Canis lupus familiaris: one gene and its partner. The protein of the gene in region 1 interacts with the protein of each later gene in a biochemical or structural test. Links are inferred from orthologs where the notes say so. Each region holds a gene or a part of one and is shown on either strand. Other genes may lie near its edges.

Region 1 (7,751 bases):
ACAGGATCAGTTATCCCAATCTTTCCCTTTTGCCTCAGACAGCAATATGGCTTTGCTCCATGTAGCACTGTTACTGATCCTGTCTTTACTTAATATTTTGATCATAATAGATTTTTTAAAAATATTTTATTTATATATTCATGAGACAGAGAGAGAGAGAGAGAGAGAGAGAGGCAGAGACACAGGCAGGGGGAGAAGCAGGCTCCATGCCAGGAGCCTGACGTGGGACTTGATCCTGAGTCTCCAGGATCACATCCTGGGCTGAAGGTGGCGCTAAGCTGCTGAGCCACCTGGGCTATGCTAAAAAGTTAATTTTGATTTTATTTTTTATTTTTTATTTTTTTTAAAGATTTATTTATTTATTTATTCAGAGAGAGCGAAAGAGAGGCAGAGACACAGGCAGAGGGAGAAGCAGGCTCCATGCACCAGGAGCCCGATGTGGGACTCGATCCTGGGTCTCCAGGATCACACCCCGGGCTGCCGGCGGCGCTAAACCGCTGCGCCACCGGGGCTGCCCTAATTTTGATTTTAAAATAGTGCTTTTTATTATTTAAAAATGGTGGTTTTAGGGCAGCCCCGGTGGCACAGCGGTTTGGCACCGCCTGCAGCCTATGGTGTGATCCTGGAGACCTGGGATTGAGTCCCACATCGGGCTCCCTGCATGGAGCCTGCTTCTCCCTCTCCCTCTGCCTGTGTCTCTGTGTCTATGAATAAATAAATAAAATCTTAAAAAAATAAAAAATAAAAAGGGTGGTTTTAAAATAGTGATTAAAATTATTTATCTTTTTTAAAAAGATTTATTTATTCATAAGAGACACAGACTGAAAGAGAGGCAGAAACACAGGTAGAGGGAGAACCAGGCTCCCCACTGGGAGCCCGATGCGATAACGGGCTTATTTGAGAGAGTAAGTGAGAAAGAGAACACAAGCAGGGGGAGCAGCATAGGGAGAGGGAGAAGCAGACTTCCCATTGAGCAGGGAGCAGACTTCCCATTGAGCAGATCCCGGGGTCACGACCTGAGCTGAAGGCAGGTGCCCAACCACTGAGCCACCCAGAGGTCCCTAAAATTATTTATCTTGATGACAGGTGCCCCCTTAGATTTTGCATGCCTCATCCTCATCCTAGAGCTGCTGGGCACAAAGGAGGAGCTCTGTAAGCATTATGGTATAATTATTACCTACAATATCTACCTTATATTACCTAAAGCCTCCCTCACAATTGACTGGTTTCTCTTCATTCGGTTTTTTGACCGAAGTTGTATCTCTGGTGACATCAGTTTTGAATCTGTTGTCTAGAATATTGACTCCAAGATAGCTTACACTAAATGAAGTTGAAAGGCTAGATCTTCCTGGAAAACTATGGAGGAAGGTTTAACTGTGTCAGAGGCTTAGGGAGGTTGGAATGTTGTGGCAGGATTATGTTTGACCAGCTTATCTCTGCTCCCTTTCCCCCACCACCCGAAATCCCCAATCAAAACACAGCTGAGAAAGACTGTCCGTACCAGGTATAAGCAAGGATTGGGAGTTACTGGGACTTTCACAGTGTCTACTTGGAGTGTAAAGCAGAACAACTGACGAAGCATGTCATGATCTGCTAAACGTGAACACACACATGACTTAGGGCCTACCATTCCATTCCTAGGCATATGCCCTGGAGAAGCACACTTATGTTTATGAAAATACTTGTACAAGCTTCATTGATAATGGCCAAACACTAGGAACAACCAAATGTCCACTAACGGGTGAATGGAGAAACGATACTGGCTATATTGTCATGTATCAACACCGTGGACTACCACTCAGCAAGGAAAAAGAGCTATCGATACATGCAACACATAGACAAATCCCAACAACAGTTTGTTGAGCAAAAGAAGCCAGGTACAAACGACAATCTATTGCAGGATTCTGTTTATATGAAATTCAAGATCAGAATTATAGAAATCTACATCGTCTTTTGCCTGGTTAGGGGGAAGGGGTGCGGTTCACCAGAGAGGGGCACAACAGGACTTTCTGCGGGGATGGAAATGTTCTATATTTTCCCTGGGCAACTGTCACTTGCCTGTCAATCTTCAAAACTCCGTGTACTTTTTCTTTTTACTATAACATTTACCTTAGTAAAGTACCGGGGGTAGGGGAGACAATGGGACGTGGGTAAAGTTGGGAAAATGTAATACAAGGGGAAAAGTAAAATTTAAAAAAAAAAAAAAAAAAAAAGCTTTATAACGAAAACCCTTCTGGTTTGGGTTTTGTGGCCTGAGCCTGGATGGCCACCTGCACACGATTTGACTCAGGACGAGACTCTCAGCAAAGGGGAGCTGGCACAGCCGGCGCAAACCGTCCCCTCCACGCTGGAGTCATTCCGGTCTCCGATCCTTTTCAGGACTCCTTCAGAGCCCCCACCCTGGAGAACCGAGAGGCCACCGCGGGTTGATGCTCCCTTCCAAAGCCCTGAATTCCACAGCCAGGCGTAGGAGCCACGCAACAGCAACGCGAGATACTCGCACAGGGTAAATCCTCCCCGGCTTCGGCTGCCAGTACTAAACATGGCGACGCCCACCAAGGGCAAACCGCCAATCGCGTGGCAGCGCACGGGCTCACGTCGGCCTCAGCCCAGGGCGCCTACTTTTAGATTGACCAATGAATCCGAGGCATGGGGCACGCCCCGTTTGCTGCTTTCACCAATAGCCTCCAGACGCCTCCTGCAGGACCCAATCACCGCTTCCGCCTCTCTTGAGTGAAAAGCCAGCCGTCCAGTGAGCAGACCCGCAGTCCGACGTAGGAGGCAGGAAGCGCTGCAACTCGTGTCGGGGCGCGCGGCCGGTAACCAGAGTCGGACGGCTTTCCTCGCAGCAGCACGCGGAGGCGAACGGGGAAGCAGGTGAGCGGTGGGTCTGGGGCGCGGGGGCGCGGTGCGGAGACTTCGGACCTGCGGGCGAGCGGGCGAGGGGAGACGCCGGGGGTTGAGGGGAAGAGGAAGAGGAGGGGGCGCGAGACGAGTGGTGGGGGGGCGGAGCGGTTTGGGCGTCAGCCGCGCGCGGCAGCAGCCGTTGAACGCCACGGCGCATGCGCGGCCCGGGGGGGGGGCGCCGGTGGCTGTTGGCGCGCGGGGAGTCATCCCGCTTCCGGGAGTGGGGCTGTCATGGCGGCCCGCGGGTCGACCCCGACTTGGCGAGGAATCCTCTCTGCTCGAGGAGACTGCCTAGGCCGTTTGGGGAGGGATTCGGGGTGTGGGTGTGTGTGTGGGGGGTGACGCCAGGGCCTGGGGTTGCGGTGGGAGGAACCCGAGCTTGTAGCCACGACAGGGGACTCTGTTGTGTTCTTGCTCTGTGTTTAGGGAATTCGGGGTTCCAGAGATTTAGAGCAGAAAAGATGTCTCAGAGGCCGACTCCGAGGTGGAAGTCTTCCCTGGAGGCACTTTGAGAGGGAATGGGTACCCGTGGGCGTGTCTGGATTGACACTTCTCGGGCGTCAGCCTTCCAGTTGGTCTGCTCCGGGGGCCTCAGCCGTCGCAGCCACCCCCGCTGGGTGGGACTAACCCCCACCGTCCTCTCCTCCTCCAATTTGTTTTGAGCTTTAGATTTTTGTGTAGCCACTTCCAAGAAAATCTTGTTCGTCAAACTCGGGCCGCCCCTTAATATCGCCCCCCTAAATAACAAAACGCCTTCTTTTGACCTGTATTTTTCTCTAAAATGCACCATCACCTCTTGGGGCACCCGGGTTTAACAGAGTAGGTGACTAGGCTTTCTCTGCCCAGGGATTACCCCAGAGGTGGCCCTGCCCTGTTGAATGATCCACCTTATTCTTCCCTCATAACACCCCCACTGTGGTTAATTCTTAGTGACTGGTTTTCCCTGTTGCTGTTCTCGCCCGCACTCATCTTTCTACTCTTGGAGTAAATTGCTTGGGGCAATTGAGTCACGCAACTCAAAAAATCTCATCAGTGAAAAATAATCTCATCAGTGATTCCCTATTAGGGAATAAAGCGTGAATGCCCTCGACTTGATCAGCTTTCCCAAGTTTGTCCTCTACCTCTGCTTCAGCCAGCCAGTCTTGCTCTCCATTCCTCACAAGGGCCTGGTACTTTCTTTGGGGCTGACCTTTCCTAGCTCCTGTTCTTTTCTCTGCTACCTGAGAAATAACCCCTCCCTGTTCAGATTACTTTTTTCAAGAATCAGTTAAGGATATATGCTTGCTTTAGCCCCTAACCTTGCCTTGAAACCTGAATTCTAATTCTATTCATTCAGCTATTGCTGTTGAGTGCTTTAGGCTCTGGGCTGGCAGGCCTGACTTTTAAGAGGGTGCTTTTCTACTCGGGGCTGGCAAGAGATGTCCTGGAGTCAGAGGCCTGACGGAAGTGAGGGGAATCCTGACCACTTTGGGCAGCAGAAACAGCAGGTACAAAGGTGCTGAGGCATGTTTGAGGCACAGCAACAAGGCCAGTGAGTGAGGGCAATGGAGGAAGTGAGGTTTGAGTGTAGAGGGGCGGTCGGTTCATGTAGGGTCTGATGGGTCATGGTGAGGATTCCTGAGTGTTCTGAGCACAGTGGGAGCTTGTGGAGGGTTTTGAACAGAGGGGTGACATTCTCTGATGTAACTTTTACACTTTGGGGAGAGAAGATGGAAGGGGATGGAAAAGGGGAAGACCAATGAGGAGACTATTCCCATAATCCAGGCACAGGGTGATGGAGCTCAAATCATCAACTGACCGTGGATAAACTGGTATGCCTGTACAGGGGAATGTTCAACTCTGACAAGGAATGAGGTACGGATGCAAACCACACAGTGAGCAGATGAATGTCAAAACATGCCAAGTAAAAGAAGCTGTATGAATGGTGGCATATTGTATGATTCCATTTATGAGCTGTCCAAAACCAGCAGATTCATAGAAAACAAAGTAGGTTAGCTGTTGCCAACGGGGTGGGGGTGGGAGGGAAGACAGGTAAAGGGTCCCGGTCTTTTTGACCTGACCGAAATGTGTGATGCACTCCAGCTGCAGTGGTCATTCCACATAGTTCTGACCGTTCTAAAAATATTGAAAACCAGTGAACTGTATGTACATTTTAAGGAGTGAATAGTAGGCTTGTGAATATCTCAGTAAAACTTCTAATTTTAAAAGAAAGGTGAAGGGGCACCTGGCTGGCTCATTCAGAAGAGCACATGACTCTTGATCTTGGGGTCCAGAGTTGGAGCCCTGTGTTGGGTATAGAGATTATTTATATATAAAAAGAAAGAACGGTAGAGGTAGCTTGAGACCAGTGAGGTGGCAGGGGTGAGAGGTGACCTGATTGTCCTGTTGGGCTGACTGGACTGGAGGAGAGAAAAAGCCAGTGAGAGAATGGAATTGCCTTTTTTGAGAAGCAGGTCTGCAGGAAGAAACAGAGGGGGGACCCCTGGGTGGCGCAGGGGTTTGGCGCCTGCCTTTGGCCCAGGGCGTGATCCTGGAGACCCGGGATCGAATCCCACGTCGGGCTCCCGGTGCATGGAGCCTGCTTCTCCCTCTGCCTGTGTCTCTGCCTCTCTCTCTCTCTCTCTCTCTCTCTGTGTGACTATCATAAATAAATAAAGGAAAAAAAAGAAACAGAGGGTTTTGCTCTGGGTCTTTTGAGTCCAGCTTCCAAGGGGAGATGTAAATGAGGCATCTGGGTAACCAGGCTGTTGTTGAGGGGATCTGGGTAACTTATGGCCAGAGACATAAGTTTGGGACCTCTCCACACAGATGTGATTAAAGCCCTGGGGCTGGATGAAGGCGCAGAGAGAATGAGAGAGGGAGGACCAAAAAGTGGGCCCAGGACCCTCCACATCCAGCTCAGGAAGAAGAGGGACTGCTTCACCACTTCCTTGCTCTGGATTTGGAGGCTGGGGTGGGGTTGGGAGGACAAAAGACCATAATCTCACTTTTGGGTCCCTTGTAGCTTACATCCAGTAGGTGCTGTGCATGTATTGGATTAAATAAAGCCAGGAGGTGAGCAAGTTTTGTATTCTCTTTACCATCTCAGCTCTACTTTTATTGGCTTGGGCCCAATGGGAAGCCTGTTCGTGAGAGTACTTAATTATTCCCTTGTGCAGACCACAAATAGCAGGAGGAGCTGGGGCAGGGCACACTCTGCTCTCTCACAGACTCCAGTCTCTCCAGCTTTCTGGCAGCCACATCTGGTCTCTAGGGTCCTCCCTTGTGTAGGCCCGTGGACTCCTTGGGCAGTGGTGGAGAGGGAACTCCTTTAGGTTAATGGGCTGAGGTGGTTCATTGGAGTTTTCCTGGTGGTGGCAGTGTGCTGGAAAAGCTTAGGGTAGGGGCTTGGTGAGTCTGAGCAGCCAGACAAGGCCGGGGGTGGTTTGAAAGGGGTAGTGTGGAAGGAGGTGTGCTGCAAGGGCCAACAAGGAGGATGTGCAAGCCATAGGAAAGTGTGGGGATTTCGCTCTGAGAGCAGAGGGAGGCCCTTGAGGTGAAGGGGTGTGGGCATGAAGGGCGGGGGGCCAGGGAAAGGTGAGGTGGTGCTCAGGAGGGCAGGGTGTGACCATGACAGGCTGAGGCTGGGAGGTGCTGTCCAGGTGGAGCTGGTGGGATATTCTGCAGGAATCTGAGGGTGGGTGGTAATAAGGGAAAGGGATCAGAGAGTGATGGCCATCAGCTTCATCATCTGGGTCCTTTCTGTGCCAGCTTGTAAGGTGGCTCCAGTGCCTTGCCTTTCTTGGGCCTGTGTTAACAGACTGCAGTGCTGGGCAGTCTTCTCCCTCAGTGACCCTCGATGGGTAGGTTTTCTCATTTGGCTCCCTCCTCTATTCTCAGCACCATGGCAGAACAAGATGTGGAAAATGAGCTTCTGGATTATGAGGAAGATGAAGAGCCCCAGGCTCCTCCAGAGAGCACTCCTGCTCCCCCCAAGAAAGATGTCAAGGGTTCCTACGTTTCCATCCACAGCTCTGGCTTCCGGGACTTTCTGCTGAAGCCGGAGCTCCTGAGGGCCATAGTGGACTGTGGCTTTGAGCATCCATCTGAGGGTATGCCTTCCTGCTTCTCCCTGCCAAGAACCACCTCTGACCACCCTCACTGTGGTCTCCTCAGCCACCTGGCGAGGAGCCTACACACAGGGAGCATCTGGTTTCTGGTTGCTCACGCGTGCTCTCTCCCTCAGTCCAGCACGAGTGTATTCCCCAAGCCATCCTGGGCATGGACGTCCTGTGCCAGGCCAAGTCTGGGATGGGCAAGACTGCGGTCTTCGTACTGGCCACCCTGCAGCAGATTGAGCCAGTTAATGGACAGGTGGGTGGGTCCCCTCCCTGTTGGGCCCAGGTTGTATGAGGCGTCAATAGCTATGGTTCCCCTCATTAAAAGTTCCTGTTCCTGTGTTATTTGTGGGCTTTTAAAATTAAGTATGGTACTTAGCTGTGACAAAACGATAAGCTGAAAAAGTGCCCATGGTTTTATTCTCCAGAGACATAGCTGTTAATTTGTCATGTGCTTTTCTAGATTGTGCAGGTTTACTCGGGTGAGATTATACTGCATGAGAATTTACTATCGTTGTCGCTGACAGTTATTTTCTCATGCATGAATTTTGTCAGAGGAGAATCAAGGTGCATTCCTGTGTTGTACTTTTGTCACATTGGGGCACACATCCGTGGGCTGTGTGTGAGTGCAAGAGCCCTTGTTTCCTTAGGGGTGACTGGGGGAGAGGGAGATGCAGTGGGAGGCTATGGTGTGGTCACAGCACTTGGCACCGTGGACCTGAAGGCAGGAGCGGCCTCCTTCTCAGG
Region 2 (7,869 bases), on another chromosome or scaffold:
TTTAAACATGGCTTCCTGCTGTGAAGGAGAGTGATTGAGCCCTTATCTTTCCCACCTTTCCTGATTCAAAAAAATTTGCTCTTAGGGCTGGGCCCCGGGAGCCCCATTTTCCAATCTGTTCTCTTCCTGGAGTTGGGGAAAGGTTATATAGTTCTCAGGCTTTCAAGATACAGAAGACAATACGGAGAAGGAAAGGATGTTCTAGCCCTTTGGTCCAGTGTTATCCCCAGCCCTATCCCTCAGTATTTGTTGATGCCAAAGAGACGAACCCCATGGAATTGGGGTAACTTAGGCAGCAGTACGCTAAGCAATGAGGCTGTGTTGATGATGAAGTGAGCAGCATCATACTTGGTGTAGAAGCTGGCCAGGAGGTAGCTGGGGAGAGAAGAAATGCGTTGAGTGAAGTTGGCTTTCCCTATTCATATTTATGATCTTCCAGTGACTTCTATCTTAAATGACCAGTTTTACTGCGTGTAGTCCTAGAATATCTGAAAGTATTCCAGCTAAATTAACAGTATTTACTTTGGGGTTGGGGAGAAAATCAGCACCTTTAACCGGAGATTTAGAAGTTAGTGTTTTTGAATTGTTAACGACATGGCAAATGACAACTGAAGCCCATATGACTGTATGCCTATATGAGAGTTCCTTTGCTTCCATTCCCCACAGTTTTCACAGATCTATATCAGTCTGGCTTTCTTTATTCACTTCCTTTGGAAGTGTAAAACCATTTGGTTTTACTTGGATGTTTTTTCAGTCCTTTCTGCATTCCCATACCACCAAAGAGGCAGCAAGGAATGCTTGACTACTATTTCCTACTTTTTACTGCTCTCCCTAGATTTAGACCATACCATAATATCTTCAAAGGGTCTAAGAGAATAGTCTGCTCTTTTAAAGCTTTCCGGGGTGGGGGTGGGGGGTGTCTGCACCCGACACTTGGAGCATTTCCCATTATCTCCCCCTGGACTCACAGTACAATAGGAGAGATGCTGAGGAATTTGCGGGAGGAGGTAAATTGGAGCCCGTAGTCCATCTGTTCCCAGTGTGTCAGTAGCCGAGCCTTCCCTTGGTCAGGGGTCTCAAAGGGTGTCCCTTTCACTGTATGTAAGAAGACATACATAGCCTAGGAGGAGGGAAGGGGGCAGTGTGAGGAGGCAGAAAATAGTCCTTCAGCCCAGGAATTATGCGGAGATCCCAAAAGGAAGACAAATGATTTTGTTTTTGATTGGGAAAGGCCTGGGTTGGGTATAAGGGTGTGGTTTAGTGCTCACCAAGTTATGGATGACGTTGGTCAGGGTCCAGACAACAGGTATGCTGAAGAAGGGGATGCTGAGTAGAACCACATGCAGCAGTCCTACCAAGATGATGTAGGCCAGCCAGATGCCCCGGCTATTCATCACGCGAGTGTTGGGGTTTACTTCGCTGTGTGCCACCCCCACATTCATCCTACCACAATGGGGGATCAGGCAGGAGTCCAACTCAATTTCCTGTCAACCTCTCTTTGAGTTTGTTCCCACAAATTGTCTCCTGAGTAGTCCAAATCCCCTGAACTCCACTGGGAAGAGCTTCCCCACTGTGCACGAAGGAAAAACTGAAAACTTGGGGAAGAAAATTTAAAAGGCGAGACAGGCCCTCTTTACTCTTACTCACTGTGATCCTTAAAGTTCAACCGTAACCTGAAGGGGTGAGCCTAGGCTTGGGGCAGGGAGTCCTGGCAGCAGGGGAAACCAGGAACGCGGGGTGAGCAGACAAGACTCCTTTAGTCCGCACCTTCCTTGGGGGCTTGCCGTCGTTTCTCTCATCCCCGTGGCCTGTAAGCAGGCCGCGTCCCAATCCCTTTCTCAAGAGCGGGGCGCTGCCCAGTATTTCCCCTCCTGGCTTTTCGACGGAGCTAGGAAGGGACCTGCGTGCAGCATCTCGAGAGATGGAGCCCTGTCCCCGATTCCAGGGGCGGCCCTGATCATCTGAACTTGGCCCTTTAAAATCGTGCTTGTCGACGCCGAGTTGTGAAGCCGATCTGGCCAGCCCGGCTTTCCTTAAAACTCCCCAAACCCTGGTGTTGAGCCCGCCCCGCGCGCCTCCCGGCTTCCCTCTCGGGCGTCGTCCGTCGGTCGGCCTCGGGGCTCCCTCAGGAGCTCCTCTCCAGGTTCTTAGCCGACGCTCCAGGCTTTCCCGCCCCCGCTTCTCGCCTCCCCGCGTTTCTCCTCAGCCCCCTTCCAGGTCTTGGGGGCCCCTACCTGCGGCTTCCCCAGCGGGTCCCACTCGAGGCGCGGCGTCCGCTCCCACACCTGCGGTCTCCAGGAAGCCACCGCCCCCGCCCAGCCGCCCTCCCCCTATTGGTGGAACGCGGTCAGCGCTGCCGCCACCCATTGGCTGGCAGTTTGCGACGGGGCCGCGCGATTGGCCGCCGTTTCCGCCGTTCGGACCGCGCAGGGCCCGCCCCTCCCCCGCCCCGCCTTCGGAGAGAGCCGGGGGAAGCCGCCGGCCCGGCGAGCGCGACGTCCGCTCTGGACTAATGGGAGGGGTTGGTAGTGTGAGGCGGGAGTAAGAGCCACCGCGATTGGTCCGCGTGGCTCGCGGCGGCCAGGCGGGAGCTCCGGGAAGCGGAGGCCGCGGGCGGGGGTGGCGGCCTGGAGGGGCGGCAAGATGGCGGCGGAGACGGTGGAGCTCCATAAGCTGAAGGTACCGTGAGGCGGGGAGAGGCTGCCTTAGGCGTTCTGGGGACTGCGTTCTGCCGGCCGGCTTGCGCCTTTTACTACGTGTCCGCCTTGCCGGCTTTTCCACTTCGCTTCCTGGCTCCCGCCGTAGTTCTTTTCTTTTGTGCCTCTGGTCTTGCCCACTACGCCTTCCCGAATTTCCCACTTCTCCGTATGGTTTTGCGGCATCTTTGCTATTTCGGCTCTTTCTTCGCCCTCGTATCATCCGTCCCTTCCCCGCCGGGCGTGCAAGTGCTTCCAACCTGCTCCGGTCCCTTCTCGGTTCTCGTCAGAGGTGCATTACGTCAGTGGTCCCCCCTTTTGCCCCGCGCTGGAGCCAGGACCCCTTTTTTTTTCCTGGGTCGACGCGTTCCCGTCCGTTTTCCCAGGCCGGCATTCCCGTCCGCTGATGACGGCAGCTTTGTGTTTCTCCCCGTCCGCCTTTCGGACACGAGAACGCGCCCACTCCTTTTTTTTTTTTTTTTTTTAAGTGGGGTTACGCCCTCGGAGCTAACTTTGAAATCTGAGGAGAGGCCTCAGGAGCTAGGCCTCTCAGACGCCAGCGACCTCGGGGACCTCGGGTCGTGAAGGCACAGCACCTGGGATCCAGCAGTCCTCGGATTCCCCGCCGCCGCCGCCGCCCCCGCCCTGTCCTTACCAGCGGGAACACTGCTCACTCTTAACTGTGATGTTTTGGGAGAGCCCTAGGTTTCTCTCTCTCCTTTTCATCTCGCGGAGGGCCCTGCATCTCGTGGTGTCACCACTGGGTGACACTCAGTCACAGGGCGGTTTTAAATGGTGTCTTTTGTGAATCTTGGTAGCTTCCGCACATTGGGATGATTATTTTCCTGAAGAAGAGAATAGTTTATTTTAGGGTCAGTTGAGAGAATATCTTGATTACTTGTCCATTTGCGGCTTCACAAGTAGTTTTCCCATCAGGTACTTTGGTCCCATCATCCTGGGAACCTTGGACAAACCAGGCTGATTTAGCCAAAGCTGTAAACTGATCCTTTAAGACTTGAAGAGCTTTTACAAAGGAGTAAGGAGAATAAGGGTGGGGAGGGCACATGCTCGTTGGCAGCAGTTAGCCTTTCTGTGAAATCTGATTTTTCACCCATGGATTCTGAAGTGGATTAGTGGGTTTTCACGTATCCTGGAGTTGCTGTTAAGTTGGTAGCACTGAAACATGTGGGTTATATCAGTGGTCTCCTAAGTCGAGAAGTGAAGAAAATTGAGTAACCACCTCTGTTGTATGTGTTAAATAAATTATGTTCTGTGAAACTGTTAGGTATGTTATAAAATATACACAGAAAAGAAAGTTGGCTTTTTTAAAGAGTTTATTCATTTATTTATTTCAGAGAGGGAGAGTGTGAGCAGAGGGAGAGCGATAAACAGACTCCAGCCTGAGCGTGGCGCGGGGCTCAATCTTACAGCCGTAAGATAACAATCTGAGTTGAAATCTAGCATGGGACCCTTAACTGACTGAGCCACCAGGTGCCCTGAAAAGAAAGTTTTGAGTGAATGAGACAAAAAGGAAATATGAGTAGGAGATTTAATATTTTCTTTTTATTAATTCCACTTTTAAAATACCCGGAGTAAGTCACTAGTCTTGAGACTTGCCTTTATGGATTTTATGTTGGTTTATGGAGTGTTTCTTTCCATAAAATCTGATGGCCTGAAAAGGATGCACCCTTTTTTTTTTTTTTTTAAAGATTTTATTTATTCATGAGAGACACAGACGCAGAGACATGGGCAGAAGCAAGCTCCCTGTGAGGAGCCGGATGTGGGACTCTATCCCAGGATCCCAGGGTCACACCCTGAGCCAAAGGCAGATGCTCAACCACTTAGCCATCCAGCCCCCCCCCCCTTTTTTTTAAATATGTATTTCTTTTTTAGAGAGGGAGGGAGGGGGAGATGGAGAGAGTCTCAAACAGACTCCCGGTTGAGTGGGGAGCCAGACATTGGGCTCAGTCTAATGACCCTGAGATCATGACCTGAACTGAAATCAAGAGTCGGAAGCTTACCTGATTGAGCCACTTAGGGTGCCCCTGAAAAGGATTCACTTTTTTAATCACATTTGCTTGTCTTTGCTTTTTCTCTAGAGCACTTCTTAACCTTTTGGAGGTCACAGATATCTTTGAAACTCTGATGAAAGGTATGAACCCTCTCCCCAGAAAAAGGCATGTACATATACTTTGCATGCGATTTGAGGGGCTTCATAAAACTACTTTGTAGCCCTGAGGAGTCCGTGGACCTCTGGTTAAGAACTTATGCCTTTAATTCTGACTTCCAGGACAGTTAATGTTTGGTTCCACTGTTGATCTTGATGAAGTGATCCTGACTTTGGGGTTGACAAGAGTTTTATCTCTTTTTTAAAAACTCTTTCCAGTTTTATAAAGAGCTTTTGTATGGAGTCTCGGAAAAGAACAAGCTTTGAAATAGGGAAAAATATCTGAATTCTTATATAAGTCCACATCAACAGCACATTTCTGAAGTTTTGTAGAAATGCAGTCATTCTAACACAGTTGGAGAAAAAAAAAACAATGTGGGTGGAAATGTCTTGAACTGTAGTGGTACCAGATTCCTAGTCAACGGTGAAAAAAGGGATTACTGCTGAGGAGAGAACCACAAGGGTGTATAGTGTCAGAGTGTTGAGAACAGTGAGACATTTGTAATATTGATGCTCATTTATGTTGGTGGTTGAAGATAGTTTGGAAAAAAAAAGGAAATGAACTGTGTGGCCATAAATGTAGAATGGAGTGATACTGAAAAGCATTTTAACTTGTGTAAGGTGGTTTGGTTTTTGTCATGTGGGCAGAAGATGAGGAGCCTTTGAAAATTTGAAAGGAAGAGCTGATGCAATCAGTTTGTATTCTTTTGGCAGTAAGGAGGATGGGGTCTGGAGAGAGAGATTTTACCAGTTATATTTTTATTATTATAATAGTTACTCTGCGGCTTAAAACCTTTTGATTATATTCCTACCAATCTCTCCAGTTTCTTTTTTTACACTTCTCATCACAGTAGCTTTATTTCATTTCATTCCTCAGAATAGCTGTATTCATTAATTACTAACACTATGTGGCATTTACTATGTGGCAAGGTCTGGTATATACACACACACACATATATATCAACTGATTTAATTTTCATAGTAACCCTGTAAGGTAAATGCTTCTATTATATCCATTTTTTAAAAATGAGAAAAATGGAAGCTCGGAGAGATTGAGTAACTTGCCTTAGTACACAGAGCTAATAATAAGTGGTGACTCAAATCCAGGTAGTCTGTCTCCAAAGTCATGTTCTTAATCACTGCACTACTGTCTTTCTTTACCTCAGAACCCAGAACAGTTACACATGCTTTAGGCTAAAGTGCTCCTGCCCGCTCCATACTCCCGTACCTTTGTCTTACTCAGGCATCAGTCAAATATCATTTACCCAAGGAGCCCTTAGGTAGGATAAGTTCTCCATATCCACACACATGATCAGACCACTTTTTAAATGCTTTCATAGGACCCTGTTCTTTTTTTTGTATTAAACATGTAGGGATCCCTGGGTGGCGCAGCGGTTTGGCGCCTGCCTTTGGCCCAGGGCGTGATCCTGTAGACCCGGGATCGAATCCCACATCGGGCTCCCGGTGCATGGAGCCTGCTTCTCCCTCTGCCTGTGTCTCTGCCTCTCTCTCCCCCTCTCTCTGTGTGACTACCATAAATAATTAAAAAAATATATTAAAAAAAAAAAACATGTATATGATCATTGGTTGCTTTATTTTCTTACTAGATTTTAAACTTCATGTGGGCAAGAACTCTTTCTCTTTTTGTTCATTTTTTTTAGTGTCTAGGATAATGCTTGATGGAGTGGGTGCTCAATCACTGTCAAGTGAGTAAACTTAGTAAGACCCGAAATAAGCTGGTGGATATTAGAATAGGAATGAATTTGAAAGAAATTTGGTATATAAAATTGTAAGTATAGATGAGTTAGATGTGGGAGGAATGAAAGATGAATCCAAGGTTTGAGTAGTCTAGGTTGAGAGGAGAAGCAGCCAGTTTTGTGTAGCAGAAAAGATAAGTTCAGTTTTGGGCTTAAGTGTCTTTGAGATTTGCACTTGGAGATGGCTGATAGTCAGTTGGAAATGTGGGCCTCCTTTTCAAGAACTGCGAGCTGATAGTAAAGGTTTGGTACATATTCAGAAAATATTTATGGAGTGCCTACCATGTGCCAGCTACCATAGGTTCTCAACGTATAGCAATGAACAAAGCAGACAAAATTCTTGTCATGGAGTTTATATTTTACTGGGGGAAAGCTCAGTAAATAAGTAAAATTTATAGTATGCCAAATAGTGATAAGATCTATAGAGAAATATAGGAACAGTGTTTGGTGGGTGTTAGGTGTACAGTGGGATTAAGGGTATTGACATTTTATTTTTTATTTTTTTTAAAGGTTAATCAAGTTTTTTTTTAATTTTTATTTATTTATGATAGTCACACGCAGAGAGAGAGAGGCAGAGACATAGGCAGAGGGAGAAGCAGGCTCCATGCACTGGGAACCCGAAGTGGGATTCAATCCCGGGTCTCCAGGATCGTGTCCTGGGCCAAAGGCAGGTGCGCCACCCAGGGATCCCGGTATTGACATTTTAAATAGGGTGACTACGGAAGGCCTTATTGAGAAGGTGATGTTAAATTAGAGACTCAGAGGTAGGAGAGTGAGTCTTATGCAAAGTGTTATGCGAGGACCTGATAGGTGATCATTAGGACTCTGGCTTTGACCCTTGAGATAGGTTACCAGTGGAGGGTTTTTGAATAGAGAGATGACATTCTGACTTTAATTTTTTTTTTCCCGGACTTAAATTTTTAGATCACTCTGGATACTTTGTGGAGAGTAAACTATAATGAGGTACCAGGGCTAAGAGTTACAGTAATCTGTATAAAAGACCAGAAAGGGGATCCCTGGGTGGCGCAGGGGTTTGGCGCCTGCCTTTGGCCCAGGGAGCCATCCTGGAGACCTGGGATCGAATCCCACGTCGGGCTCCCGGTGCATGGAGCCTGCTTCTCCCTCTGCCTGTATCTCTGCCTCTCTCTCTCTCTCTCTATCATTTAAAAAAATAATGATAAAAAAATAAATAAATAACCAGAAAGGATTAGATTCTGTATATACAATAGTTCCCCCCACCCCATTCATG

What was found. The genes of interacting proteins can lie anywhere in the genome.
Region 2: the proteins of DDX39A (region 1) and SARNP form a complex in vitro, tested with the Homo sapiens proteins (2 studies listed by BioGRID). The link is inferred for Canis lupus familiaris from reciprocal best matches to the Homo sapiens genes DDX39A and SARNP.

What each region holds. Positions count from the first base shown.
Region 1 is NC_049241.1:48,592,931-48,600,681, forward strand, and holds the start of DDX39A (ATP-dependent RNA helicase DDX39A), read left to right. Parts: upstream 1-3,212; 5' UTR 3,213-3,230; intron 3,231-3,279; exon of another isoform or gene 3,280-4,243; 5' UTR 4,244-4,394; intron 4,395-4,671; 5' UTR 4,672-4,756; coding exon 4,757-4,761; intron 4,762-6,786; coding exon 6,787-6,998; intron 6,999-7,132; coding exon 7,133-7,260; intron 7,261-7,751. UniProt on the Homo sapiens protein: Helicase that plays an essential role in mRNA export and is involved in multiple steps in RNA metabolism including alternative splicing. Regulates nuclear mRNA export to the cytoplasm through association with ECD.
Region 2 is NC_049231.1:550,075-557,943, reverse strand, and holds the start of SARNP (SAP domain-containing ribonucleoprotein), read left to right. Parts: upstream 1-2,643; coding exon 2,644-2,679; coding exon of another isoform or gene 2,680-2,919; exon of another isoform or gene 2,920-4,128; intron 4,129-4,795; exon of another isoform or gene 4,796-4,848; intron 4,849-6,524; exon of another isoform or gene 6,525-7,159; intron 7,160-7,869. Other genes in the region: ORMDL2 (ORM1-like protein 2), read right to left, coding at 1,093-1,095, 1,768-1,808, 2,235-2,919. UniProt on the Homo sapiens protein: Binds both single-stranded and double-stranded DNA with higher affinity for the single-stranded form. Specifically binds to scaffold/matrix attachment region DNA. Also binds single-stranded RNA. Enhances RNA unwinding activity of DDX39A.